5 linked regions of the Rattus norvegicus genome follow. The protein of the gene in region 2 interacts with the protein of the main gene of each other region in a pairwise test. Links are inferred from orthologs where the notes say so. Each region holds a gene or a part of one and is shown on either strand. Other genes may lie near its edges.

Region 1 (5,297 bases), on a different chromosome or scaffold from region 2:
TGACTGCTCTTCCAGAGGTCCTGAGTTCAATTCTTGAAAAAAGTAAGGGAAAGGAATGAAAAAGACAAATACTACTGAGTTTTATGAGTCAGTATGATGAGAAAATAATGTACTGTTAAATCAAAGAAAATAACAGGATGCTGTATAATGAAAAGGCTAATGTTTTTTAAAGGGTAGAATACTTATGTATATTTACAAAGAAAAAAATCTGGGAGTTTTTATAATAAACTCTAAAGAACTAGTTCCTCTGAGGAACTAAGATTAATGAGACAGGAAAAAGAACTTTTAGTTTTTCATTTTACAATATTCTGGTTTAGAAACAGTAGAATAGGAGCTGGGGATTTAGCTCAGCGGTAGAGCACTTGCCTAGTGAGCGCAAGGCCCTGGGTTCAGTCCCCAGCTCCGAAAAAAAAAAAAAGAAAAGAAAAGAAAAGAAAAGAAAGAAAGAAAGAAAGAAAGAAAGAAAGAAAGAAAGAAAGAAAGAAAGAAAGAACAGTAGAATATATATGACACACTTTTATGATAAAGATAAAACTACTTTAAGTCAAATAGCAGCAGTCAAATTACATCCTCTGCCTCATAGATAAGGGAAAGACAGGAAGCCGCACAGAAGGTCTGAGTAGGAAGGGGAGGCCTGAGGACCAGCAGCAAGTTTAACAGAATAGTTCATTGTTGTCTCAGTGTTCACATTAACTGCAAAACAAATTGTTTCTAAACACGTTCCAACTTAAACTTTGTATTTTATACTGTAATAGTGAGGCTCAAATAATATGTCACTAGTTTTATTGTTCAAAGTTTGGCCTGATTCTACCAGATGTGTCTGCAAGGAAGAGATTTTACTCCTGAAGTAGAACAAAGTCAAGATAAATAACAGAAATGTACACAACCAATATGAAAGACAGCTTCCTTACTAACTCGCTGGTCCACTCTCACGTGAGCTATTAACAGGATTTGTTAAGCTTCCATTTTATAGTTAGCTCAGACTCAAACAAAATACTAGGGTTGGGGATTTAGCGCAGTGGTAGAGCGCTTGCCTATTAGGCAAGCGCAAGGCCCTGGGTTCAGTCCCCAGCTCCGGAAAACAAAACAAAACAAAAAAAACCAAAAAGAACAAAAAGAACAAAATACTAGGTAATATAGCCCAATCTAGTAGATTCCAGTTTCCTTATATAGCTGCTATGCCTGGTTCTGCTGTAGCTGCCCATTTGAGATGATATATAAAACTCTTTTTCCAAATGGCAAGACCTTCTGTCACAGCCCTCTCTCTTATGTCTTAGTTGACTCAGAAATATTTGAATAAAATTTAAGAGTTCTTGAACAGATTTCCTTTACTGTGCCTAGAGATGATACAAAGTTTTCACATTTCTTCATACTCTTAAACCAAATTCCTTAAAAAAAAATTTTTTTTGTGTAAGAATATAAGGTACCACTCAATACATCTCAATTTCATAGACAGTTATATGGGAAAAATAAGTCCATTTTTAAAGCTGACTAATACTGATAAGCTAGGACTGGTGTAATTCCATTTTCACACTCTAGTTCTTTGCCCCTCAGTTCATACTTACAAGGAGGTGGCATGTAGTGCCGACATGATGAGAGAGAAGGCTGTGGAGGTGGCTGGGGCTGGGGCTGTGCAACCATGCTGGAGCCATAGCCATCTATTGATAATGGCTGAGTTGGGGCTGCAGCAGCCTGATGGCCAAAGACTGCAGCCCGGGAAGAAGAGACAGGGCAGCAAGGGTCAAAGGCAGATGCACCATGGAAACCCCCACTTCCATGAGTCCTGAGAGCACTGTTGCTCAGATCGACTGGCAATGCCTGCTGGGTAAAGAACAATTAGAGTTTACCTTTCTAAAGTTTCATGAAAACATCATTTCTTGTCACATGAAAAAAGTATCCCTATAGTTCTCTAGAAAAACAAGGTCTTTGATGAATTTGGAAATGGCAATTCTTTGTATGACAAAATCAAGCACAAAGAAAATAATATGTAAAGCTAGAGCTTTAAATATAAAATATAAGATAAACAATTAATGTTACTGTAAGATTTATTTCTTGGGGCTAGAGAGATAGCTCAATGGTTTAAAAACTTGATGCTTTTGCAGAAGACCTAGGTTTAATACCCAGTATCCAAAGCAGGTAGCTCACAACTGCCTGAAACTTCAGTTCCAGGGATCTGAGGATCTGAGGCCCTTTTCTAGGCATGGACATGAATGCAAGAATGAGGTGTATAAAGACAAGCAAGAACACGCGCGCATGCGCGCGCACACGCACGCACACACACACACAAAATTTGAAAAGCAAATTAAAGATTTGATTGTTCTTATATTATGTACAACTGAGAACACAAGGTTTGAAAGCACACCTTCGGGGTTGGGGATTTAGCTCAGCGGTAGAGCGCTTGCCTAGCGAGCACAAGGCCCTGGGTTCGGCCCCCAGCTCCGGAAAAAAAAAAAAGAAAGAAAGAAAGCACACCTTCTTTACTCTGAAATTCTAACCAGGACTCCAGAGACAGTATGCTATCACAGCACTGAAAATATCAGAATTCTAGTAACAATCTGTCAAAAATTTCTACATTGTTTTATAACAGATTAAAACTAACAATGGAAAAAAAGATTTAAAAAAGAAAGAAAGAAAGAAAAGAAAAGAAAACCAAGCAGCACATGGTGGCCCACAGCTTCCAGTCCCACACTTGGGAGGCAGTGGTAGGAAGACTCTGAACTAGAGGCCAGCCTGACATATACAAGTGGGTTAGAGTTAACATTTTCTCCTCTTAAAGTATGTGACTTGAAAAGTTCAAAGTACACAGTAGGGTAACTACAGCCAACAACAATGAGTATCTCAGAATAGCTGTAAGAGTCTTCATGTTCCGCTGTAAGAGTCTTCATGTTCCCTACATGGAAATGATGACTTTTGTGATAGACATGAGGCTACTCTGTTGATCTTCACATATTCATTATATACATGTATCAAAATTACCATCTAGAGAAACAGACATAACTATGTGTTAGTTATGTAAAACCCCCAGGAACACTTGGGTCTCACTCTAAAGCAGATTACAAAGAAATAATTGTTGGGGGGTTGGGGATTTGGCTCAGTGATAGAGCGTTTGCCTAGGAACCACAAAGTCCTGGGTTCGGTCCCCAGCCCCGAAAAAAAGAAAAAGAAAAAAAAAAGAAAAAAGAAATAATTGTTGGGTTGTTCTTACTGTTGATATTTTTAAGTATTTTAAACACAATGTCTACTAGTTAGGTTCAGTACAGTTGTGCTTTCAAAATGGATCTGGCCAGGTGTGGTTGATATACCTGTCACTCTAGCCCTCAGGTAAAAGAAGCAAGGTGAGCCTAGCCTACATAGTGAAGATCTTATCCCTGACCAGTGTCAAACATGGATAGAAAGATGGTTCTGAATGAGGATACAAGTTTGATTCCTCCAGAATCTACACGAAAAGCTAAGTGCACACCTGTAATCTCTGCACTGGGGAGGCAGAGAGGACAGTTCTTAGAGTTCATCCCTATCAACAACACCAGTCTGCTGTCCATGAGACAACTTTGGGATAAGCTATCCCTTCCTTTAAAACAGTGGTTCTCAACCTTCCTAATGCTGTAACACTTTAAATACAGTCCCATATATTATGGTGATACCCAATCATTAATCTACTTTCGCTGCTACTTCTTAACTGTAAGTTTGCTGTTAAGAATTGTGATGTAGGGGTTGGGGATTTACTAGCTCAGTGGTAGCAAGGGCAAGGCCCTGGGTTCCGTCCCCAGCTCCGAAAAAAAGAAAAGGAAAAAAAAAAAAAAGAATTGTAATGGAAATACCTGTGTTTTCCACTGGTCTCAGGTGACCCTGTTAAAAAAAGGGTTGTCCAACCCCCAGAAAGAGTCATGACCCACAGGTTTAGAACCACTGTTTTAAGGTAACTGGAACTGGTAAAGACAGTCACCTACTGACTCTGAGCAAAAGGAAGCATTGTTTCTGTAATTCAATCTCACCTGCACCTTTATCTTTTATTTTCTGAGTCAAGGTCTCATTACATATTCCTAGCTATCTTGGAACTCTATAGAATAGGCTTGCCTAGAACTCACAGAGATCCACCTGCTTCTGCTTCGAGTACTAGGGTTAGCTACCTTTCTGTCTGACTTCTGTTTGTCCCCACCTCCCTCCTTTTTCTTTTCTTTTTTAAAAATTTTTTTAAGACTTATTTATTCCCCAGCTTCCAAAAAAAAAAGATTTATTTATTACATATGAGTACATATTTAATATTTATTATATCTGGTGTCCACCAGAAGAGGACATCAGATTCCATTGCAGATGGTTGTGAGCCACTAAGTGGTTGCTAGGATTTGAATTCAGACCTCCCTCCTTTTTCAAGGCAGGATTTTTCCAGTGTAGCCCTGGCTGTCCTTGAACTCAGAGCATTCTGTATCTCAGAGTACTGAAGTTATCTCTTAGCCAACTGTATTCTTATCAACTACAACAAGAGAACACTATGTGATAAACTCCTTTGTTGGGAGCTCTCTCAAGAATGGGGAAGCTGGTGGGGCTACCCTGCCATGGCCTACAACTCTAGTTAACTTCCTCTCCTTTCAACTCCCATTGCTGGTAAAAGGAGGCTTTCCTTTATGGCAGAGCCTTCAACATACCTCCTTCCCCAGAAGTACAAAAGCTTCAGATAACCATTTAATATCCTGAACTGTTAACACAAAGAAGCAAAACAACATCTGAAATCCTGCTCATTATTAAACTAACTCTTTTCAAATTCCTACTGGAGAAGACCTCTCCATTATTGTCCCAAAAGAGACAGCCAGCAAAATTTAAAGGCAAAACTTGGTGCTTCAGGAAAGGTCAAGAGACACAGAAAGGCAGCCTTTCTCAAGGTATCTTGGCTCTGTTCAGCCACATGACAACTAAAAGTTATATTAACTTCCCTGAAATAGTATCTTTTGGGTTTGTTTTTGTTTCTAATTGCACTGAAAGAGAGAGAGAGAGAGAGAGAGAGAGAGAGAGAGAGAGAGAGAGAGAGAGAGAGAGAGTGTCAGTGCTCATGCATATGTAAGTCAAAGAACAATTTGTAGGAATTGGCTCTCTCTTCTCACTATGTGGGTTCCAGGGACTGAACTCAGGTCAGGCCTGGCAGTAAGTGCTCTTACTCACCATGCCATATCCATGACCCGACAAGTGAATTTTACGATAGCTATCATGTCTACTTTTCCCCTTAACTGTTTGTAATAATTTTAACTTTCTGTATACCAAGACTCAATTTAAAAATTCACAGCTCATTAAATTAGTTCATTTTT
Region 2 (5,803 bases):
GCACAATGTGTACATGCCAGAGTCTCTTTTCTCCCCTTTTTACTTAGTTAATGTAGTTAGTGCACTTTTAGTTGGTGCACTTCAAAAGATAAAAGGAAACGAATGCAGCCAGCTTCTTGGGCTGTAACGTTGGTTCATGCGCGATCATTCATCCCCGAATATCCAAACAACAGAATTTATTTCTTACCTGCAGTTAGGAGGAGGATCAAGGGTGATCTCAGCTAGCTCCTTCTGAATTCTGTTAGTGAAATGAGAACAAACCAAAAGGATCTGAGGTAGTCTACAGAGCAACCGGGGAATTACACTGCCCTCTACCACCATGCAGTTAAATGCAAGGCTGGCTTTGCCTTCAGTAATGCTAACATGGCTGCTTCCTCTTTGTTCTCAGAGGCATAACCCAAATCCCTTAGCAGAAACTTTGCGGCTCTTTTTCTCACGTGCAACTGTAAATAAGTGAGTCATTTACACCTGATTCGGGAAATAGCCCCTTCTGACTACTCAGTGAAGGATATATAATCTATTAAAAAACATTTTTTACCAAAGAAATTCTCTTTTCAAGCTTATATGCAAATGAGACAAAAAGGGAGGAGGGAAAACACCAGAGAATTTGACAATGACTTCAAGTCACTTTTTACTGAGCTAAAAATTAATAGACTGCTACAAGAGCATATTAATGATTTGGGCAATATTTTAGCTCTCAGAAAAGTTTAAAATTTGTAAATATCTTTGCCAATGAAAATTTCAAAGTAGCATTCATATTAGCTATGAGTGTGTCTTCTCTGATTTTAGATACACCTTTAAGGGTCAATAAATCTGCAGTGGGGAAGAAGATAGATAAATATATAAGCAAAAGGCAACTGGCTGATTTTCTTCAAATTCAGGGTATTTTTCAAAACTCGGAACATGTTTAATATGTTCCTCCACAAGATTACAACAAATTGGACATTTCAGATTATTTCAAATAGTGTTCCTGGTTAATAAAATATTCTAAAGCTGTTAGCATTTGAGTGATCATTAAAGTTTGAATCACAATAAAAATGTAACATCTGATCAGTTTTTACATTTTTCTTCCTTCATTTATACCCTACGAAAATCAACGAAACACCTGTCCTGGGTAAAGTGGGCACATTTCATCTTAATCACTGGTTTCTCTGGACAACCCAACACTGCTACCACTTGGGAGTTCCACTGGCAGAATCTTTCCAGTCACCACAGAAAATTCAAGCCAATCGTGAACAAATGATCTTTCACTTTGGACTTTCCCCCTGTTGTTAGACTGTCAAGCTCATGCAGTGCTAGAGTGAGGAGGAGGAGGAGGAAGGACGGGGTGGTTTCAGTCACTGGGTAGCACCTAAAATGGTAACTGGCCACTTGTGAGTTGTGTTTGCCCTCACAAGAAGGTGGAATAATAATAGCGCACCCACGGCTGCGCCTGTGCTGCAAGACTTCAGTCCTCTTCCTACAAATTGTAAGCAAAATTTAAGCACACTTTTAAGAGCTGCCTTCCACCATGGCCAAGCCTGGTATTGACCAATTTTCTGGTAAATATTGTCATTTCTGACCATTCAATTTTATGGAGAGAAGCACTGCTGGCCTCTAGATTTGTCAATTTCACCCAAGCATGACTCACAAAAGGAAAGCTCTCCAATGGACCATCTAATTTGGGTTCGCCAAATTTCCCTTGCCAACTCCTTCATCCGTCAGAATGAGCCCCAGCTCTTCTGGAGACGATCCTCGAGTTACCATACCATAGTACAGAACAAAGTACACTTGCTTTAAAGTCAATAGTGCTAGGAAAACTGTATACACACACACACACACACACACACACACACACACACACACACACACACGCCACACGCCACACGCCACACGCAGAATGACAGCTCATTCAAGTTCAAATACGTTTACGTTTGATGGAGAAGTATTTCTGAACTACTGCCACTGAAGTTAAGCCAACAAAAGCAACCAATGGGAGGGAAGTCAAGCTGACAATGTGAGTCCTCCCTTGTAGACATTACCTTTTAGCACTAGTGGATAACTTAGCAGTCGTTTTGCTAGAGAGTTTGGTGTTTTTCTTCTGCTGGGTGGCAGAAGGTTTTCTTTCTTCCTGTTCCTCAGGCTCTGGAGCGGCAGGGTCTCGCTGGTCTGCATCTGAACTACCACTGCTGGTGCTAGGGCTCTCATCATCCGACCTTTGCCTATCACTGGACATCTTGGTGAAGTTATCTCTGGGAAAAACTTCTAAGGAGAGAAGGGACCCATAGAGAAATATTAGATCTTTAAAAAAAAAAAAAAGAAAGAAAAAAGAAAAAAGAAAGAAAGCAAGCCCAGCAGCATGCTCCTCTCTCAATAAGCACCTTTGAGAGTATCTCATTGAAAAGGATTCGAAAGTCCCTGTAATTATTACGGTACAGCAAGGTTACAGGGAGCCTGGCATGTATTATAATGCAGTCGTTGAGGGATTTACCAAATGCAAGTTAGAAAACCCACTCACATTTTTCCCCATCCCTTAGACAATCTATCAATTGTCTACTTTCTCAGAAGGCATGAAACAGATTTGCCAGGGAACTTGGGCAACGGGCATTAATAACATATGACAACTGTAAATAACAGATCTCGCTGAGAATGTTCAGAAGTCACTAATGCCGTCTAAATATTTACAGGCTGACACCGGTCTGAGCTACCAAATCCTCCTTCCCAGAGGGAAACATACCCAGTTAGTCGCCCATATGCTTATTTACGGTGGCGGGTCCTCCCGTGCGCACCGAAAGCCTTTGAACACAGCACTCGAATTAAAAAAAAAAAAAAAATCCAACTGGCAGCCACCCCACAGGCGTCCCCACGGCCGGCGGCGAGGCTTCACCGGGCCAAGCCCGAGCTGCCACCCAGGGAAGGGCAGGATCCAAACTGCACCTTCTGCAAAGCTCCGGGTGCCATCGACGTTCCCCGCTCAATTCCTCCCTCACCGACCGACATTTTGTCAAAAAAAAAAAAAAAAATCCGCAAAGCGGCCAAAAGCCCGAGGGCAAAACAAACAAACAAACAAAAGCCCTCCCCCACCCCGCACCCCCAGAAGTGCAACAAATTGGCGCCGCCCGCCCCGGGGCTAGCGCTGGGCCACGCAGCTCCGCGGTCCTTTGTGGGGAGGGCCGCGCAGGGGACCGCGCCACTGCGCCCGCCCGCCCGCCCGCCCGCCCGCCCGCCTGCCGGGGGATGCGGGACCCGCCGCCCCGCGCCGCTGACTGACGAGCGCGGCTGACTGAGGAGCGCGGCGCCCGGCGCGAACAAAGCTGCCGCCCCCGCCCCCGCCGCCCCCCACGCGGGCCCCGGCCCCGCCGCCTTACCTCGGCCGCCCGCCCGGCCCGCTCGTGCGCCGCTACGCTGTGGGGGAGGGAGAGCGCCGAGGAACCTTCCTTGAGGAAATGGAGGCAGCCTGGGGGGGGGACCGGGGGGGCGGGAAAAAAAGCCGCCGCCGAGGCTCCGGCCCGGGAGTGTGGAACATCGAAAGTCGCAGGCGGCCGTGCAGTGCCGCGCTGCGGCCGGAGGGTGGCGCCGCCCCGCGCTCCGGGAGCCACGGTGGGGTGGGCGCTCCGCCGGCCGAGGCGCAGGGACGCGGGAGCCCCCCGCGCGCTCAGCCTCCCGCCGCCCCGCTCGGCTCGGCTCGGCTCCTCCCGGTCGCGCAGTCAGCAAGTTCCGAGCGGGCGGGCGGGCGGGTGAGCGAGCGAGCGAGCGAGCGAGCGGGGGAGGGGCGGGCGCGGCGGCGGCGGCGGCGGAGCGCGCGTGCTCGCCGCCTGCCTGACGGAGGGGGCGCGAGCTGCTCCCGCGCGCCCCCGCGCGAGCGCGCTCCCGCCGCGCCTCCTCTCCACCGGGTTGGGGGGTTGGGGAGGTGGGGGCAGATGCGCACGCGTCCGCCCGCGCGCGGCCCGGACAAAGAGCGCGGCGGGGACCGGCGGGCTGGCCCCTGCGCCCTTGGCCGCCGAGCTCGTACTGGAAGAGGAGGAGGAGGAGGCGGGGGCGCGGTCTCGCGGGGCCGCGGGTGGCTTCCGGCCTGAGCCCGCCTCCGGGCCGACGCTGCCCATTGGACTACCCGCCCCTGAGGTTAGGGCCGGGCGGTTACCCGGGAATCCCGTACCTGAGCGAGAACCCTGGCGCGTGGCTGGGGCTTCCCCGGTGCCCTGAGAGGCAGGAGATGAATGGTGTTATTGAGGAGGCCAGGCACGCAGGCAAAGGAAAGCTGCTTCTGGCCCCTCTGAGCTGAAAGAAGTGTGGCAAGGTAAAGAAAAGTCTTGGGCCCTCAGCGAGGTGGATGGGATTTCGAGACCAGGGGACCAACATCAGCTAATCTCTGGCTCCCATCCTGCAATGTCGCTGCCAAAGGGGACTGCCCTCTGGACGCTTTGAAAACTAAAAAAAATCCCAAACTGTTTTTTAAATGTCCCGCTCAAGATGTACAAAGTGGAGTGAGGAAGTTTAGGGGTTATAATCTGACAGGTCTGGCGGCAGGCTCTGCTTTGCAAGAGAGTCACCACTTAAGGATAGAGAATCCATGGAGGGTTCTAAGGCAGTGTCTTCATTAAAAGTTTTAGATAGGGATCCTGAAGGTGGCTTTACTCCTGCCTTTCTTTTTGCAGAATCTTCAAATGGAGGCCACTTTTGCCCCAAGCACAAAATAGACAGAAGTACAGAAACTTCCTGTTTGCAGCTCCTGAGACCATGTTCCGGTGATGGAACCTCAAAGGAATTTGTGCATTCCTCTCCCACAAGTGTCCAGGGGCAGGGGTGCTGGGAGAATGAGTTCACAGAAGAAGCTAGAACAGCAGAGCCATAAGAGATAAGACAATGTGCAAGAGAAAGAAAAAAGAGAGTGAGCCAACATACGAGTTTTCCTCCAAATAGGAAAGCTTTGGTAAAAAGGCTACTCGAAACTAAATAAGTCACATCTGTAACTTCAAAGACACCCATTTGGCAAACTTACACAAACGGGTTATATGCTAGTATATGCTAGGCACATAAACTCCTTCCAAAAGTGTGTCCAGAGCCAAGTCTGCTCACTTCCTGCCAAGAGGTCTAAGTCTGGAAGAGACCCCATCACTGACATTCACCTGGATGGGAAGAAGGAAGGATATTCCAGTTTGAACAAAGTCGTGTCAGAAGAGAGATAGTGATCTGTCTGTGGATCAATGCCCCAACACTTTGATTTGACTGAATGAAAGGGTTCAGATGGACGGGGTCTGAATCAGAAAACTCCCAACACTACATTAAGGAAAGGGCTCTAGAGCAGCAGCCTGCCAGTTTGGGCATTGTTTGGGGAGGCAGCCTTGGCTTCTGAGGGAAATTCAATACCCTAGAAGTAGCCTGAAGTTTATTTGGTGAGTTTGGATTCATGGAGTCCGATCGTCAGAATACTTGGGAACTACCAAATTCTTAAGCAGTTGGTGATGTACTTATTACTGCTCAGTGTGTAGTTGGGCAGAAAGAAAATAAAGACTGAGAAATGGTTTATTACAGGAGAATGAAAATGGGATTGGAACAATATTGACCACCAATTAAAAAGTAACTGGTTCAGAAGCAGCCTTTCTGTGGAGAGTGGAAACAACTGTATACAAAGTCGAGAAGTGCCCTGTGCTAGGTCCACAGGATCTAGAGAAGTATTCATTTATGTGAGGACAACCTTTATGTAATAAAAGTTTCTTTAAAGTTAAAAAAAAAACAAAACTAACTATTGGGGCTATTAATGCAGCTTGGAGTTGGTGATGGACTTGAACCAAGAGAAGTTATATTAGGCCGAGCCTGGAGGGAC
Region 3 (5,725 bases), on a different chromosome or scaffold from region 2:
TGGTCTGTGAGTCTACAGTGAGTCCGGAGCTAGTGAGGGCTACATGGTGAGATCTTGTCTCAACAACAACAAACAAAACCAAAGATAGCATCGTATTCACACACATCTGCAGTGTGCTTTTCCGTTTGCCAACCCACAGATATCAGGGGTCCGAGGACAGAGACGCAGTGGCACACTGTCACCCACAGCAGTCTGAGTTTCCCTAGACTTTTAGGGACTTAAGCTCAGACGAAATGGATTCCTGGCTTCAAGCAAAAACAACCATTCCAGGGCCAGTCAATATGATGAGATGGAGTTGGAGATTTTTATTATAGATATTTTAGAGGTTGGAGGAGGCATTGGGAACAAACTAAGACTCGCCCTAGTGTGGGTATAGGTTCCTCCGGGGAGCATAGCAATTGATTGGCTTAGCATTAGCTAGGCCAATTAGGTGGCTTTCATGCTAAATCTCAAGCAGTTGCTAAGATGCCCCCCCCTCATTTGATATGCAAGATCGAAGATGCCTTGGAAGGAGTTACAATCTAGAAACCCCAGGGCTGCATAAGGGGGCTGGTACATGCAGGTTGTCTGTAAAGGAGGTTTCTGGTGAGATTCCTAGAAAATTGCAGGTTTAAAGCTGGGAAGGGAGGAAGGCCTTGGGCAATCGTTAATGGTGCTGGAATTATTTTTTACATTTCTTTATTTATTGTGTACATGTTGGGAATATATGAGCCATAGTCTGTGAGCAGAGATCAGAGGACAGGGTTTGACCGTTGGTTCTCTCCTATCCCAGGCACTGAGCTCAGGTTTGACAGCAAGCGCAAAGCTTTACCGGCTATTTTACCACCCTTATGCTGGAATTCTTTTCTGGCGAGAGGCTTTGACCAAACTGCTGAATGAGGGACTTGTTTTTCCTGTCCCAACATTTTTCCTGCCTCAACAAATATTTCAAATTTTATCCAATCAACTGACTATTGCCATTAGATCATTTTCATTCTTTTGTTATTTAAAAACAACTCAAAAGAATATTGATTTGGGTCAATAGATCTATTTTGAGGAATTTAAGAATAACCTATAGGACACTGCAAGGAGAACTCAGGCTTTGCAGACAGATGTGCTGGCTAAGATTTGCGGCGTCTCTTGGTTGTTTTAGGAATCAGATGCTGGAGAGAAGTTGAAAGAGTTCTCGATTAAAGGTCTGATCGCATTTATACCACCCCCAACCCCCGTTTTTTTGAGACAAGGTTTCTCTGTGTAGCCCTTTCTGTACTAGACCAGGCTGGTCTTGAACTCAGAGATCCTGTCTTCCTGTGCTGCTTGAGTGCTGGACCGAGGGTATTTCTTAACCTGAGCCCATTTTCCCTCCTGAAGCCTGTACCGTGGCAGTGTTGAATGCAACAAAAGGTGGTCTGGAGGGGCTGGGGCGGAGCTAAGTGGAAGAACACTTGAAGCCCTGGGTTTGGGTGGACATGCAAGCATGGGACATGACATATAATAGTCCCCCAATAAAAACAGTTGCAGTTACTACTAAATAAACAGTATGCTGGTTTTGGGTGGCGATGGTAGAGTTATTTTAGCGATTCAGCTGGTGTAGAGGTTAAAGGTGGACTCTCCAGTTCTCCTCAGCCCTGACCATGTTCCCCATCCCCTCTGGCTGCAGTTTCTTCATCTTTAAAACCCAGGTTTCAAGGTTCTCCGATAGCTTAAAGCATAATGCTTCTTAGTGCTTAATACACATTTTACTTGGCTCCCCATATGATGGCAACGACATCAAATAATCCAGCAAGAGCTGGAGAAACAACTCAGTGGGTAAAGGCGCTTGCCACTATGGCTAAGAACTTGAGTTCCATCCCAAGGACCCATAAAGTAGGAGAGAACGGGACTCTCATATAGAGTCCTGCCCTCTATATGTGCACCAAGACACGCTCTCATAGGATAAGATGTCATTTAACGATAACAGAGCAAGAAAGTCTAGAAACCCGGAAGGAGCTCTCCCACGTGATCACAGCCAGCGCTTGGAACGTTCACGGTCCTCCTGGGATCCCTCCGGTTTCCCTTGAGGCCGCAGTAACGTCGCAACCACCTAGGCAACGTCTTCGGGTCCCCTTCGCCCCATCTCGGTGTCTACTTCCTGCGAGTACGTCATCAACGGGCGCCCGGCCTACGGTTTCCGGGAAGGGCTGCGCAGCTGCGTAGGGGTCGCGGGTGATTTCGAGGCAGCTGGCGCGGCTCGGGGTCGCCATGGAGAGCGGATCGCGGCCGTCACTCGGTCAGGTCATCCTGCTGGGCACCAGCTCGATGGTCACCGCCGTACTGTACTCCATATACCGGCAGAAGGCCCAGGTCGCCCAGGAACTCAAGGTCAGTGCGGAGTCCGCCAGGACTCGCTGGCTGCTCGCGCCCGGACGCACTGGGGAACCACTGGGTCGCCAGAGGGGACCCCAGCCACCTGCTGCATCGAGGCTGCCCCGCCCCTTTGCTCCGGTGTCCTCCGAGTTACCCTCAGTGTCATTGGACGTCACCGCAGTGCTGTAAAGCTATTTCTCGAAAACCTGCTGTGCACCAGGTAGTGAGAAAAACAGGCCATTGTCCTGGTGGAAATTCCATTCTAGGATAGCGGGACGTCTACACGTAATCGGATCGTGTGATAGGGTGCGAATCGGGTTGGAGTAGCGTAGAGAAAAGTGGAAGGGATAGGGAAACGGAGAGTTCCGTTTCTTTTGCTATAGTAAAATATTCTGACAGAAAGCAACTTAGGAGACGGAAAAGGGTTGTTTACTTTTCAGTTTCGGGTTACCATTAATCATCGCAGGGAAATCCAGGCAGGAACTTGAGGCAGCTGTCAAATCAAACAAACGCATGCGTGCTTAGCGCTCAGTTTGATTTCTCTACTGTTCACCAACCCAGAGCCCAGACCAGGGAATGGTGTCAGTCACAATACAACAGGCGAGTTTCCCCGCTTTTGTTAGAGCTGTCAGGACAGCATCTTAACAACTATGCCTACACAGGCCGACCCGATATAGACAGTTTCTTATTGAAACACTCTTTCCAAATGATTCTAGGTTATGGCCAGTTGATAGTGGGCGTCGCTGTTTTTTTTGGGATGGAGCTGGAGGATGTGGAGATTGGGAATGGCGGGATGATTCTAACTCAGAGAACAGCAAACTTAGAGGCTCCTGGTTTCTACAATCGTATTGTTACTTTAAAGTGTACTTTAAAACTACCTTCTCATTTGAGGGTTGCACTTAAACACCTCACAGCACACATTTCCGTCTCGGTTTTATTTTTGTCAGCTCAATGGTGACAGTGGGTATTTCCTGATGATTGCACATGAAGACATTTGACATTGAAAGGAAAAGTCTCACAGCTAGTGTTAACTGTCAACTAAGCAGGATCTGAAATCACCTAGGAGACAAGTTTTCTGGGTGCACCTGTGAGGCTAGTCTCCATTAGGTTAATTTTGATAGCAAGATTTGCCCTGAAAGTGGGCAGTGCTGTTCTCTGGGCTTGGGTCCTTGACTGTGGAAAAGGGAGAGAGTGGGCAGAACAGAGATGTCCAAGGCTCTGTTTCCTGAGTTTGGATATCATGTGACCAGCTGCTTTACGCCCCTTTACCTCGACATTCTACCTTAGTCAGAATTGCTCTTAAGGTGATGAGACACTGTGACCAAGTGATTTGGCTTATGCTTCCAAATCACTGTTCATCTAAGTCAGACAGAACTCAAACAGCACAGGGGCCTGGAGGCTGGAGCTGATACAGAGGCCATGGAGGATGCTGCTTACTGCTTTGCTCCTCATGGGCTGCTCAGTCTGCTTTCTTACAGAAGGGGAATCACTAGCCCAGGGGCAGAGTCACCCACAATAGACTGGGGCCCTACCCTCAATCTCTAGTTAAGCTGGGTTTTAGGAATTTTTCTCAATTGGGGTTCCCTCCTTTCAGATAATGCTAGCTTGTGTCAAGTTGATGTCCAACTAGCCACCTCCCCAGATTGATTGAGCATATCCTTGAACCGTGAAAAACCCAAATAAACACTTTCTCCCTTAGGCTGTTTTCCTCCCAGTATTTTATCACAGCGAGAGGCATTGAGACTAAGCCAGCTTGGAACTTAAATTTAGGTTTTTGGGTTCAAGGGTAGTATAACAGGCCAGACGGGAGTGAAGACTTCTATTGTGTCTTTCCCATTGACTATCAGACTATTGAAACAGTGGACTCCAAAAAATTGAAACTTCCCCCAGGAAGTTCCTGCTGCTGGGAGAAGGAGAAGCCAAGGACCTAGGGGTAGCCATAGGGAGAACTTGTCAAGATGGCCTTTGTAGGAAGGACTGGGTCTGAGGCCGTGATGCTGGGCAGGACCATATCTTAACCTGACTGCTCAGTTATGCCATTTAAGCCTTGTTTCCTGCAGGAGAGATGGCTCAGTTTAAGAGTACTGGTTGCTTTTTTTAGAAACTGTTAGATTATCAGCACGCACATGACAGCTCACAAATCATTCCTGACTCCAGTCCCAGGGGATCTTTTGGCCTCTGTTGGCTGTCAGGCATGTACATGGTACACAGACCTACATGCAGGCAAAAACACCCATATAATAAAAAGTAATAAAGTAACATTTTGCAAAGCCCTTACGTTTGTGTGAGGACCCAGAGGTAAAGTTGGGGTCAAGCCACTGCTATCTATGCCCTCGCTTGCTTTTCACTGTTGATTTAGCCTTTTTAGTTGGCTTATTTTTTTTTGTTGTTGTTTTTGTTTGTTTGTTTTGTTTGTTTGTTTGTTTTTGGAGCTGGGGACTGAACCCAGGGCCTTGCGCTTCCTAGGCAAGTGCTCTACCACTGAGCTAAATCCCCAACCCCTTTAGTTGGCTTATTAAGGACCAGCGGCTGAGGCTGGCTAGTTAGGAAGACAATGGCATGGCTCTGGCCGTAACTCCGGCAACACTATGCTCTTTTCTCCTTTCTTAGTGGACCGCATCGCTTTGTGGCACCTGTCAAGCCGACTCAGAGAGATAAATGCATTCGACAAGCAGTAGATGCTCAGTGCATGTTGGTGGTTTTATTTTTGCTTGAATTTCACAGTCCATCAGCCAGGGGCTCGTTGTAGCATTTGTATGGAAGGTAAACTCTGGAACCCACATCTTCTTATCACCAGATTGATTTCAGTAAGGGCCCAGAAACAAAACCGTGGAGTTCCTGCAGTGAAAAGGGTTGGATCAGAAGTTCACAGTGCTAACAAGGCAGAGGCAGGTGGATCTCTGAGTTCAAGGGCATCCTGGTCTACTTAGTAAGAGGCCAGCCAGGGTCACATAGTGAGATCTTGTCTCAAAAACAAAAACAAGCCAAACAAAACCAAAAAACCAAACACAAAACCAAAAACACCCAGAGTAACCAACAGAACATGTTGAAGGGCACCCTCAGATGCACGCTTTTCTGGGCCAGCCTGTGGTACCTGAGACTTAGTTCCTAAAAGAGTGAAATAACCCTTCCTGGGGAAAGCCGTGGGAGCCCTAATGTTAGATTTTCACCTGTTGGTCAGAACGAAACTGAGAGAGCTGAATTTGTACCTTACTCTGGTGTTTTTGTCGGTGACAAGAATGCTTGATTATTTTACGGCTTCCATGTGTCAGCTCTGGACTGTATTTTCCCATACCCCAAAGTTCATTTCTCCCACCTAAAGAATTCCATGAGATGTCTTCTCCCTTCCTTTAGAGTTTTGGAAGCAGGCTCAGAGGAGTGAAGCTGTTCGAAATCATCA
Region 4 (6,045 bases), on a different chromosome or scaffold from region 2:
AATCTTTGTTACCAGATTTCATGCAACTATTTCTTTCCAAGAATGGATATTTGTAGACTTTCCCTAATAACTCTGAGGGAACATAAAGTTTATAAAATGTTAGAATGTGTTACCAAGTTTTATCTGATACATGCTATTCCAGTGGGATGAAAACCATTTACAAGTTCCATTTAGATTAAAAAATTCCTTTGGGGAATGTATGTAGTACATTCTAGTTATACTGTTTCTAGAACAGCAAAAACCTCTATAACCTATTTCCCTACTGTTTTGGTTTCAAAAACCAACTTAGATCTCTATAGTTTCTTCACAAAAAGTCAAGGTGATATTATAGGTAATGGGGGGGGGGGGGGGTTGGGGATTTAGCTCAGTGGTAGAGCGCTTGCCTAGAAAGCGCAAATCCCTGGGTTCGGTCCCCAGCTCCGACAAAAAGAAAAAAGAAAAAAAAAAAAAAAAAAAAAAAGACCCACACAGTGGAGTGAGATATTATAGGTAATGACAGAACTATATGAATTTCCAGCAGAAACAAAAGCTTTCTCAAATTTACCCTATCTCACATGGTCTACAAAAACAATAACAAAGTTGAATCAAGAATTACTTGTAGTCACATTAAAAAAAACAAAACATTAAAGTGAAAAGTGCTGCCTCATTTTTAAAACAGGGAGTAGGAAGGAAGACAAAGAAAAGCTTCTAAATCCAAACTACTTAAATGAATTGTTTTTCATTCTCTTAGGACACAAAATCCATTTTACAGAAACACTCTCCTGAAAGCCACTGTTTAACATGCAGGAAGCTCCATGGTCTTGCCACACAAATAAATAAGTAAAATTCTCCTAATGCTAGGAGCTCACCCTTTGGCAATGGCCTCTGTCTTTTACAAACTAATGAGTTATCCAGTACTGGTTACTTGGTGGTTCACTCTGTAATTCCAGCCTAAGGAAGCTGAAGCAGGATGACTGCCCTGTGCTTGAAGACAACTTTCACAGTCAGTTCCAGGATGGCCTGTGCTAGTTAAGACCACAAAAACAAAGTAATGGGTTACAAGCTATCTCTAGTATTTCCATCTAGAAGTAAGTTGACAAGTGTCACAAAACACTTTTATTTTGTTATTTGCTGTTTGATTATATCTCTCATCCTAATCAAATTAAAGGTTTGTTGATGCAAGTTTCAGAAAAATTATATGGTAAACCAACTTTAAGTGACTCATGTTTAAAATCCTTATACAAACAATCTATTCATTTGAAGACTTCAACTACTTGATTAGCAGAAATAATTCCAAAGTATCAGAGAAAACCATTAAGCATGAAGCCTCCATGTTAAATATGTTACAAATAAAAACTACACAGAAATATTTATAAATTTCAGCATATTTCCTCCTGTCAATATGTCAAAGAACTTTTTACATCTTCTCTATGCTAGAAGAAAAGGAGAAATTACTTAAGGTATTTAGTGAGCAAAATAGTCTTGCAAAAGAAAAGATGTATTAAAAAAAAATCATTCACCTCCTTCTATCAGACAAACAGTATTCTCCTTAGAACATACTGCTTACAATTCAGCCGAGTGTGACTGCCAAGAGTATCTAGACAAGATTGTTCAAAGTGGCAAGCTTTTCCACCAGCATCTACTTAATACTTGGAGTTAAAGGCAAGTTATGGATAAGCTAAATGAAAAGTATTATTTTCTCTTTAACTTCAAAGTATAGCTAAAAACAAGGTATGCTTATTTAAAATGCTTCCAATTTTCAGAAGAATAGGGATTTATTCAGTTTTGCCAAATAGAGACTTAAGTGGCTGAAATAAAGAGCTCTGGCCACAAGTGAAAAGATGAAGAGTCTGGTGGATGTCTACAAGTTCAAGGCCAGCTTAATCTACATTGCTGGTCAGTCAGAGCTAACATAAAGACCCTGTCTAACAAAAGAAAGAAAGAAAAAGAGGAGGAGAAAACAAGAGGAAGAAGGAGAAGCTTTATGAGCAGCTTTTCTAATATTAGTTCACATTTTTAAAGACTTTTTCATAGTAACTTAATGCAATATCAAATCTAAGAATATTCAAGCTTTACAGGTGAAATATGTAAAACTTACAATAACTCAGTAATGTGCAAAAGTGACTAGAGGAACTGCATTTGTATTTACACTTAAGCTGTAAATATTTTTCCCCAAATAAGGGACATAGTGTATCATGAGAATGTCACTGTGACTTTAAATATTTTTACATATATATTAAGAACACAGTGTCTTATGTTCAATGTGTTTGTGCTGTTCTGGTAATTCTTTATGTCACTGTGGTGTATTACAGCAAAGGCTCTAACTTCTGGTTAAGCAAACTAGTACATTTCAATTCTGTTCACTGTACTGTAGAGACCATAAGCCACTCCTTGCTCTTCTAGTTCTGACTACAGGTTATAACAGCTAAGTACCACAGAAAGCGTGCATATGCACAGCTTTGTCACTTCTTTTCTCAGCCCCCTTCTTTTCTATGGAAAAAAAAAGGAATTTAAGTTTACCCCAAAATATCAACTTCTCTTTTACATACATTCCCAATGTGTTTTTCCATACAATTTATTCTGATAATTCCTATCCTAGAAACGTCAAAAGAGGGAATTTCACGGATCAAAAGGGGAAATAAATGTTATCAATTATCATAACATCAATATAACGGAGCCAATAATTGATACAAAAGGAATCTGTAATCTGCAGACAGTCAAAATACCACTTGTATTTGCATGTGATGTTCACGGATGAATTCTGTGTGTGTGTGCCAGATTCACCTGGTTTTGAAATGCTAAGCTGATCTTTATGGGTATAATCAGAGCCAACATCAAGTGTCCTGAGGAAAGGCAATTCAGGAGAGCGCTGAGTGGCATGGAGAAGGTCGGAAATTAAGAAGACAGCGAATGAGCAACGAAAAGATCACAAAACTCAAAACATTCATTTCCTGAGTAGCCTGAAGAAAGATCTTTTCTCTTAACGTTAATAGTCTCCTACTCACTTCATTCACTTCCTAACTTCCTTTACTTTTCAAGGAACAACAAGGGGCATCATCTCCTCTTTTCTGGGAATGTGTACTCAAAGAATCTGCATAGGAAAGAGGGAAGGAGCCGACAATTCTCAAGTAGGTTGAGAAACAGGTGGATTACACGGAGCAACGGAGCAGTAACATGATTTAGATACTCACGAGGTGGCTTTAAGATGACAGATGTGGTTAAAGGAGACTTGCACGTCGGAATCAACTTGGGTCTGGCAGACAGACTGGGGACTGATTTGCAAGCACCAGAGGGGGGCAGAGGCTAGAAACAGAGCGGCCTCAGTGGAGGGGACGGGGCAAAAAAGGGCAAAAAAACCCCAAGCACCAAGCAGGACGGGTGGACAGTGAGTAGCAGCACCCGTCAGAGTGGAAGGCTATTGCTTGGGAGACCGGGGCCAGTAGGAAAGGACGTCAGAGGGGAAAGGGGGCTGGGGAAACAGGAGGACCAAGACCTAAGGATACTGTTGCCAGAAAAATGCGGGGAAAAACTGGCGATGAGAAGCCCTCTTGGGTCCTCAATTGAAGAAATTCTCCAAGGAGAGCCGGCGCTCGTCGCCGCGCTGCCTCCAGCCGGGCTGCCTTTTCCTGGTGGTAACTGCTGTGGCGTAGAGGGGAGAGGGAGGAAGAGGAGGAGGAGGAGGAGGAGGTAGCCAGAGGAGGAGGAGGGTGAAGACGAGGCGGGCGGGGGTGGGGGGGTGGGGAGAAAGGGGGGTGCGGCCTGCACAGTCCCAGCGAAGCCTCCGCTCTCTCGTAGCCGGTCAGCGCCGGGTTTCCCCTAAGCCCAGCCCCGCAGACACTCACCCGCCTGCCTTGCCTCGCTTTTCTCTTAGCCGACTCCACGCGTTGCCGAGTCCTCACAGGAGACCAATGAACGAGAGTCGGCGAAAAAACTCTTCAGAACCGGGCCTGACTGCTTCAGTGAGTCCGACCTTTACGGCTGAGAGAGAGACTCTCAGCTTTCGGTGGGTTCCACGGCTAGACGGGCCACCATCTTACATTAGGGTAAGACTCCTCCGGCCTCCGGTGCGCAGGCGCATGCCGATCCGGCTGGGAGGGGCGGGGGAGGGGCGGGACAAGCGGCAGGCGGGCGAGTGGGAGGTTGCGGCGGACTGGTCCGCTGCACCCTGGGAGTTGTAGTCCTCCGATAGTAACCGCCCCGGGGCAGGCCGGGAATTGAAGTCATCACTAGAGAAGGCGCTCGGGAGCTCGTTCCTCACGTGGCTACTGGAGCGCCGGCTTTCTTCTTGTTTTGCTTCCTCCTCTGCCCGCGTGTGTGGCTACTGTGTCATGTGGTCGGCGGTTTTCAGTAATGTTAGCTGAAATGTAGGAAACCAAAATTCTACGAAACTTAACTGATTCGGAGAAAGCGAGGACCTGTCTTTTCTGCCCCGCCTTCTGTAGATAGGTATCTGACGGGGGCGGTGTGGCGGTAGAATCAGGTTGAGCATTGCAAGAGCGCGGGATTTGATCTAGAGTGAGGCTTTGATACTTTTGGGAAAGTGAATGTTAATTCGTTTCCCGGTCTTGGCGCGCCCTGACACCAGTACGGTTGAGCTCATCCTCCTTACGGTAAAATCACTAGTGAAGAAATACCTGAATTGCCTTGTGCACGTTTCTCAAGAGAGTAGCATGCGTTGCTGGTGATGTGAAAAGAATGTGGACTTAACTGCATACTCTTGTTGGCTACGAGTTCAGCCTGCACAAATGTGTGGGTCAGGTTCGCAAACTGCGCAAATAAACACGTCTCAAAGGACATAATGCAACCGCAGCCGGTTCGAGCACCGAGAAACCTTAAGTAACAAAATCAATTTACTGGACTTCCCGGGTTGCCTCCTAGAACTCTGGTGTGAGTGGCGCTTCTGAAGCGGTCGTTCTGTTTAGTGCCTGTATTCCTATTCATGTAAGTACTGAGCTCCTTGGTACCTAGTTCTTTACCATTTGCCGGGAAAATATAAGAGAGCAAACACAAATCTGTCAGTCACCATTCTGGGGTTTGGAGAAGTGAAAGGACACAAGTTTTCAAATCCAGGGTTAAAATACATAGGATGGGACTGTGGCTTGCAGCACAGTGGTAGAGCGCTAGTCTGGCACACTTGAGGTCTGAATGCAAAAGGCTGGAGGGGAGGACTTAAAATAGGAAAGGGGAAAAGTAGGGAAAGAAATTGAAGTTTTAAAATCTCAGTGTCGCTGGACATAGTGGCATAGGCCAGTACTCTGGAGGTAGCAGCTGGTGGATCTTTTTGAGTTCAAGGCCAGCTTAGTCTACAAACCCTGTCGGGGGTGGTGGTGGAGGGGGGAGGACAAAAACAAAAAATTACAAAAAAGCCAGACCGGTTTCTTTGGTATCGAAGAGAAAAGAAAGAGGTTATAGGGGAGGTGGGGGAGTGAACGGGGATAAAAATGACCCAAATTTTATTTTATACACGTATGAAATTGCTGAAGAATATTTAAAAAATATAAAAAGAAGCACACATTTGGACATAGTATTATGAGACTTTGTCTCAAAGTAAAAAAGTTAGGGGCTACAGAGATCTCCCGGCAACCACATGGTAGCTCACAACCATCTGTAAATGGGATCTGATGCCCTCTTCTGGTGTGTCTGAAGAGAGGGATGTGTACTCACATATATAAACTAAATAAAAAATTTATTTTTTTTTAAGTAAAAAAAGGTGGGCTGGAGAGATGGCTCAGTGGTTAAGAGCACTGACTGCTCTTCCAGAGGTCCTGAGTTCAAATCCCAGCAACCACATGGTGGCTTACAACCATCTGTAATAAGATCTGATGCCCTCTTCTGGTGTGTCTGAAGATAGCTAAAATGTACTTATATAGAATAAATAAATCTTAAAAAAAAAAAAAAAAAAAGGTAAAGCCTGGGACATAGCTAAATGGTAAAGTACCTGCCTGGTACAAAACCCTGAGTTCAATTCCAAAAGATAAATTAAAAAAAAAAAATACAGTAAAGTCTATATTTCCATAAACATGATTGTCCCAAAAATATAATACAATCGTCATTTTTCTAGCATTT
Region 5 (5,829 bases), on a different chromosome or scaffold from region 2:
GGGTGACTTGGAAACCCTGGCACACGAGTCTCAGGACCTTGCCAGATCAGCCACCGAGGAAGAGACGCTTGTAGGCCTTGTTCATCTGTTCCAAGAAGATGAAGGTGAGGACAGTGTGGGGGCCCAGTCGGGCATAGTATGGTGTGAAGCCCTTCCACAGGCTGAAGAAACCCTCATAGCGGACGACTTTCAGCAATACATCCTAGACAGACAGGCAGGCAAGTGCTGGGGCTAGGACCTGGCCTCAAGCACTCTGTTCCGTATACCCAGCTCCCTTCACATCCCTCCCAGGGCACCCAATACACTTTGATCCAGCTCCCCCTCCCTGCCTCCTCACCAGCCCATTCTTGTACTCTGGCTTCCCATCAATCATTCGCATATTTTGGATCCTGAAAGAGAGGAAATATGAGCATGAAAGATAGAAGGGGACCCTCCCGGAGCTCTCCATCCCAGGCTAGAGACTCACCTAGTTTTGACAATATCCACAGGCATGGAAGCAGCAGTGGTGACCAGGCCACTGATCATGCTGGCGCAGAAGTGGCACAGAATGTTGTCAGAGAAGTAGCCTGGGAGGTGAGGCAGAAGGAGGTAGTCAACTCTCAGGTAGCTCAGGCCGGACTGGGCAGCAAATGCTCAGCCTGATCTCTCACCTGAGTCCAGCAAGAATTGCTTGGATTGGGAGTAAGAAGCAAGTTGGGCAGCATTGACGACAACAGCTCGAGCCATGGTAGGGATGCAGCCCTGGAGGTGGGAAGATGGAGACAACAGAGACAAGAGTCAAAAAGGCCAGAGATCTAACCCAACATCCCCTAAGACTCCAACCCTTTCGCTCACCCGCCACAGTGTGGGGACTCCTTCTTCCCTTGCAATTCTAATTAGGGCATTAAACACATTTTTGTAGCCACGGCGCTGGTCAGCTGGAAGCCTGGGGGAAGGGCAGGGAAAGGCCAAGATCAGGACAGCCCATGGTCCATAGGATCAAAGAAAGGGAAGCCTGAACAGTTAAGTGCCCTGATGTAGACAAAGACAAACGACAACAAGGAAATCATCCTAGATTCCAGGAATGGGGCTGGAGTTCAGCTTAGCCGTGGAACTCACCGGCCATCAGCAGTCATCCTGATGAGGGCCACCTCAGCTGGTGTTCCCACAAATGCACCAGTTGCACCTGCAGTCATGCCAATCAGGGCTTTCAGGAGAAAGCCAGGGGGTGTACCGTCAGCCCCAGTCAGGCGCTCAAACAACACTGTATATATACCAAGACGTGTAGTGGTGTAGGTGGCCTGGCGCAGTAGGCCGGCTGACAACCTGTGGAGTAGAAATGTCAGCACATCCGGCCAAGGTCTGAACCTGCCAACCAGCAACCTCCCTCCCCAACTTGAGGCCACAGTACCCAGTGTAAATGCCCCTCAGCCCTTCTGCCTTCAGGATGCTAGTGAGGGCATGGAAACTGGTTTTGTACTCTCGAGTCTTGGCGCCTTCACCACTCAACTGCATCCGGTTCTTCACCAGGTCCAGGGGCTGCACAAAAACGGTAGCGCCCATCCTTAAGTAAGACAGGGAAGAAATCAGAGGTCAGCTGTTCCAGCTCTACTGTAACCTGGCAGCAAGAAGTTACAAAGGTCAGGGACTGACATGCAACTAAGGATTCAGGAGGCTGGTGGGAATGTGTTTAAGTGTGTGCATCAAGGGAAATGTGCCAGAAAAAGTCCAGTTGCCCAGTAAAGACCACGCAAATCAAAATACTTCGGGCAGTTCTTTAAGGTTCAAGCAGAATTAGGACTACAGGAAGTCTAAGGAAGGGTGGAAAAGGTGTCCTATGATAAAGCCTTTAGTGGCCTCGACCCACAACCCAAACAGGCACAGTGAAGCAATGGTGGTGGAAACACGGGGCAATGACCCTTGAATACAGCCCAGTTGGGCCCCTGCAATGGGTGAATAGATCTTAGCAACCCATCAGGGACCCCGCACCGGCTCAATTTACTGCAACATACTCCCAAGTTGCACTGGGCCCAGTTGCTTGCTCCCATCCCTTCCTCCTTTTTCCCCAATCCTGGGGCCTGAGCTTACCCAGCCAGGCCCCCAAACAGGAACTTGACAGACTTAGGGGAGGTACGGGGTTTCCCGTCCATCCGGCCAGCCCCGGGACTCGCCGTCGCCGCCATCGTCCCTTGATGGCCCTCGGCTTTGGGTCCCGTGCACGCACAGCCCCGCTCGCGCCCAAGGTGACACCAGCGCGCAACAGGGGGAGGGCGCGCGCGCGCACGCCCCTCCGACAGGCAAATCTGGCTCCAGCTGGAAGCTAGGGCGGGCGCAGGCTCGTAGCGCAAAGGCAGCCGGGAATAAGGCGGGGCTAAGATGCAAGGCGAAGGGGCGTGGCCGATTTAGGAAGCTACCCTGTAGCTCCCGCCCCCCAGAATTGGAATCGCGGGAAAAATAGTTTGTTTGAAAATATCGCGAGAGCAAGTGAGTCAGTCGAGTTCGAGCTATGAGGCCTCTCGCGGTAATTTCCAGCGGCGAAGGAGGGGGTAAGAGGCTGGTGAGCATTCTCGCGATACTTGAACGTATCGCGGCGGCCAGAAGAAGGAGAGGTTTGTAAACAGGTAGCTCCAAGATCTCAGGGACTAAGGGAAAAAAATTAGATCGTTTGCTGAGCACCGGAGCTCCCTTCATCTCCGCAGGCACGCTCTACGTGTCGAACATTTCTTTCAACCGGCCTTTTTGGACCGGAAGTCCTCCGTCCTGAGCGTCCAATACTGGAAGCGGCCTTTCTTACCGGAAATCCTTTTCCAGGGGCATAGGAAGAAGGCCTACCTGGCCGGAAGTCCCACCTCCTTGAGATTTCTCCCACCCAGAAGTTATTTTTTGTTACCTGTTTGCCTTCGTTCCTATTCTGTTCTACTTCTGTACCAGAGAAAGATACATTGTCTCCCTTTCCACCTCCACTAAGCTGGTTTGATAGCTCACTTCCCGAATCGGAGTTCCTTCCCCGACGCCCCCATGTAGCTGAGAAGTGGGACCTAGGGGTGGTTGGACCCCTGGGATCCTGAAGGAGAGGCAGAGAAGGCGCAGGACTTGGCTTCTGCTCCTGCTATCAGGACGCGACCTTCCCAGCTTTACCCCTCCTGCTGCCATGCACCCTGCGGCCTTCCCGCTCCCTGTTGTTGTGGCTACTGTGCTGTGGGGAGCAGCCCCTATCCGAGGGCTTATTCGAGCGGTGAGTCTGAGGGTCGGATGGGGAAAGGGTGTTGAGAATGGGTTTCAGACTGGAAAATGTACTGTTTTATCTGCAGACTTCGGAGCACAATGCCAGCATGGACTTTGCAGACCTTCCAGCTCTATTTGGGGCCACTCTGAGCGATGAGGGACTCCAGGTGATGCTTTCCTCATTTCCCTACGTGTATCCTGGGCAGGGGTTAAGTATCCGTGCTCAGGAGGTAGGAAATGGTTGAGATAGCAGTGGAATACATTGGACTGTGGGATACAGTTCAGTGATAGGGTGCTTTTCCTAGTATGAGTGAGATTCTAGGTTGAATCTCCAGCAACCCTCCCCTCCCCCGAAAAAACATGTGCATGATCGTGTCCAGCCCAGAGTCCAGAATCTAGAGATAAAAGACAATGTCCACCCCTAGAACTCCCAGGTATTTTTTTACTTTATGTACTTAGGTGTGAGGGTGTCAGATCCCCTGAAACTGGGAGTTACACTCAGTTGTGAGCTGCCATGCCACATGGGTGCTAGGAACTGAACTCAAGTCCTTTAGAAGAACAGCCAGTGCTATTAACCACTGAGCCATCTCCAGCCCCTAGAATTTCCAAATTTAAGAGGAAGTCTGAGAACAGGTTAAGATAAGGAACAGGTGCTTATCAGCCATGTCTCTGGAGCTACTTACTATCTGCATGGATGGCTGTGGACAGTCTTTTATTGGAAAACAAGTAATAGAAATTAGTTTAGGGCTATTGTGCTAACTAGTGAGATAAGCATGTCTGTAGAGTTCATTACGAAGTTCTTGCCACATAACTACTGCCACAGCAGTAGAGTTGTAAGATGGCTAATTGGAAAACGAAGCAATTGAATATGCTGTGAAAGTCAAATAAGTAGCAAGCTGAATCACTGTCCCTGGGAAACTTAAAAGCAGAACTAAACTAGCCTTGAGAAGTCAAGGGAGCCTCTGGGTAAAGGGATGTTGTTTACTGTAATTGCATCTTCAGGAAGCTAAGAGATCTTTTCTGTTTTTTTGAGACTGGACTCTAACTCTGGCTGTCCCTAACTCACCGACCGTGCAGGTCAGGCTGGCCTCCCAACTCATTGCACTCCCACGTGCTGGGATTAAATGCATGTATCACCATGTCTACCTGAGTTGTAGATTCTGATTTGGGTGGGACCACAAGAATGAGTAATGGTAGAGTTGCCGAATACAGGTAGTATGTGTACTGTTATGTTTAGTAGGTCCTGTGGAAGACAGAATACTAAAAGATGGAAAAATCTGTTTGCCTTTATCCCTCAGGGGTTCCTTGTGGAGGCCCACCCAGAAAATGCCTGCAGTCCTATTGCCCCACCACCCTCAGCCCCAGTCAATGGGTCAGTCTTTATTGCACTGCTTCGAAGATTCGACTGCAACTTTGACCTCAAGGTTGCTGAATGGGGAACGGGTGGTAGTAAGCAGGGTAAAATGACACCAGGAATGAAGAAAGGCAAGGTTTGCAACTCTGTCCTGCTTTGTCTTTTTAGGTCCTAAATGCTCAGAAAGCTGGGTATGGTGCAGCTGTGGTACACAACGTGAATTCCAATGAACTTCTAAACATGGTGTGGAATAGTGGTGAGGATGAAGAAGTCTGTACTGCTGGGTCTCTCCATATAGTTCAGTGGGAGGGCTAAAGACCTACAGGGCAGTTGGTTGAGACCTGCAAAATGTGCCTAAAGCCAGTTTCAGGGGATTGAGGAATGGAAGGTTAAATCCCTAATCTCCTGCTCCCTACAGAGGAAATCCAACAACAGATCTGGATCCCATCTGTATTTATCGGAGAGAGAAGTGCAGAGTACTTACGAGCTCTTTTTGTCTACGAGAAGGGGTAGGACATATGCTTTCTTCCGTCTTCTTTTGGGTTCCATGCCAGTCTGGAACCCAACTTCACTGCCCTATCCACTCAGGTTCAGGGTCTTCCTCATCTGTTTTGATTTTCTCATTTATGCCTTGTCCCAAGCCAGTAACCTTAGTTTGCCTGGCTTGAGACTGTCTTTTTTTCCTCAGGGCTCGGGTGCTTCTGGTCCCAGACAATAGCTTCCCCTTGGGCTATTACCTCATTCCTTTCACTGGGATTGTAGGACTGCTGGTTTTGGCCATGGGAACAGTATTGGTAAGTACCTAAGGAAAGAACTTAGAAGGTCAGACTGGATCTGTAGATGGGAGGTCTTATTGGATTTTCCAGTTATTTCTTAAGCCTGGTCCACTTTTCCTTACCCCTAGATAGTTCGTTGCATCCAGCACCGGAAACGGCTTCAACGGAACAGACTTACCAAAGAGCAACTGAAACAGATTCCTACTCATGATTATCAAAAAGGTAAGGGCAGGGTTGGGGATTTTAGCTCAGTGGTAAGTGCAAGGCCCTGGGTTCAGTCCCCAGCTCCGAAAAAAAAGAGAAAAAAAAGGGTAAGGGCACTGGAATGGGACCCTTTCTCCTGGCTGCCCTCGCCTTGAAGGATTTTTGAGCCCAGTAAGTAGACCAAGGGTTCAAAGAGCCAGAAAGATGCCCCCTTTGGTTGTTTCTTACCAACAACTAACCACAAGCAAAGGAGCTAGGGTAGGACGGGCTAGAAAGCAAAGATGAACAAAG

Evidence for each region.
Region 1: the proteins of Ube2e3 (region 2) and Rnf111 interact in a two-hybrid assay, tested with the Homo sapiens proteins (2 studies listed by BioGRID and IntAct). The link is inferred for Rattus norvegicus from reciprocal best matches to the Homo sapiens genes UBE2E3 and RNF111.
Region 3: the proteins of Ube2e3 (region 2) and Mul1 interact in a two-hybrid assay, tested with the Homo sapiens proteins (2 studies listed by BioGRID and IntAct). The link is inferred for Rattus norvegicus from reciprocal best matches to the Homo sapiens genes UBE2E3 and MUL1.
Region 4: the proteins of Ube2e3 (region 2) and Cnot4 interact in a two-hybrid assay, tested with the Homo sapiens proteins (3 studies listed by BioGRID and IntAct). The link is inferred for Rattus norvegicus from reciprocal best matches to the Homo sapiens genes UBE2E3 and CNOT4.
Region 5: the proteins of Ube2e3 (region 2) and Rnf167 interact in a two-hybrid assay, tested with the Homo sapiens proteins (2 studies listed by BioGRID and IntAct). The link is inferred for Rattus norvegicus from reciprocal best matches to the Homo sapiens genes UBE2E3 and RNF167.

Annotation. Positions count from the first base shown.
Region 1 is NC_086026.1:80,001,131-80,006,427, forward strand, and holds part of Rnf111 (E3 ubiquitin-protein ligase Arkadia), read right to left. Parts: intron 1,822-5,297; coding exon 1,566-1,821; intron 1-1,565. UniProt on the Homo sapiens protein: E3 ubiquitin-protein ligase. Required for mesoderm patterning during embryonic development. Acts as an enhancer of the transcriptional responses of the SMAD2/SMAD3 effectors, which are activated downstream of BMP.
Region 2 is NC_086021.1:84,192,141-84,197,943, reverse strand, and holds the start of Ube2e3 (ubiquitin-conjugating enzyme E2 E3), read right to left. Parts: upstream 3,699-5,803; 5' UTR 3,348-3,698; intron 2,245-3,347; 5' UTR 2,216-2,244; coding exon 2,022-2,215; intron 239-2,021; coding exon 188-238; intron 1-187. UniProt on the Homo sapiens protein: Accepts ubiquitin from the E1 complex and catalyzes its covalent attachment to other proteins. In vitro catalyzes 'Lys-11'- and 'Lys-48'-, as well as 'Lys-63'-linked polyubiquitination.
Region 3 is NC_086023.1:155,933,991-155,939,715, forward strand, and holds the start of Mul1 (mitochondrial ubiquitin ligase activator of NFKB 1), read left to right. Parts: upstream 1-2,121; 5' UTR 2,122-2,220; coding exon 2,221-2,340; intron 2,341-2,369; exon of another isoform or gene 2,370-2,545; intron 2,546-5,725. UniProt on the Homo sapiens protein: Exhibits weak E3 ubiquitin-protein ligase activity. E3 ubiquitin ligases accept ubiquitin from an E2 ubiquitin-conjugating enzyme in the form of a thioester and then directly transfer the ubiquitin to targeted substrates.
Region 4 is NC_086022.1:64,777,420-64,783,464, forward strand, and holds the start of Cnot4 (CCR4-NOT transcription complex subunit 4), read right to left. Parts: upstream 4,014-6,045; 5' UTR 3,822-4,013; intron 3,636-3,821; exon of another isoform or gene 3,171-3,635; intron 1-3,170. UniProt on the Homo sapiens protein: Has E3 ubiquitin ligase activity, promoting ubiquitination and degradation of target proteins. Involved in activation of the JAK/STAT pathway. Catalyzes ubiquitination of methylated RBM15.
Region 5 is NC_086028.1:55,856,736-55,862,564, forward strand, and holds the start of Rnf167 (E3 ubiquitin-protein ligase RNF167 precursor), read left to right. Parts: upstream 1-2,518; 5' UTR 2,519-3,130; coding exon 3,131-3,214; intron 3,215-3,290; coding exon 3,291-3,371; intron 3,372-3,394; exon of another isoform or gene 3,395-4,281; intron 4,282-4,502; coding exon 4,503-4,628; intron 4,629-4,726; coding exon 4,727-4,814; intron 4,815-4,976; coding exon 4,977-5,067; intron 5,068-5,246; coding exon 5,247-5,352; intron 5,353-5,462; coding exon 5,463-5,556; intron 5,557-5,829. Other genes in the region: Slc25a11 (mitochondrial 2-oxoglutarate/malate carrier protein), read right to left, coding at 47-202, 338-389, 467-566, 651-741, 835-925, 1,099-1,305, 1,391-1,543, 2,068-2,162.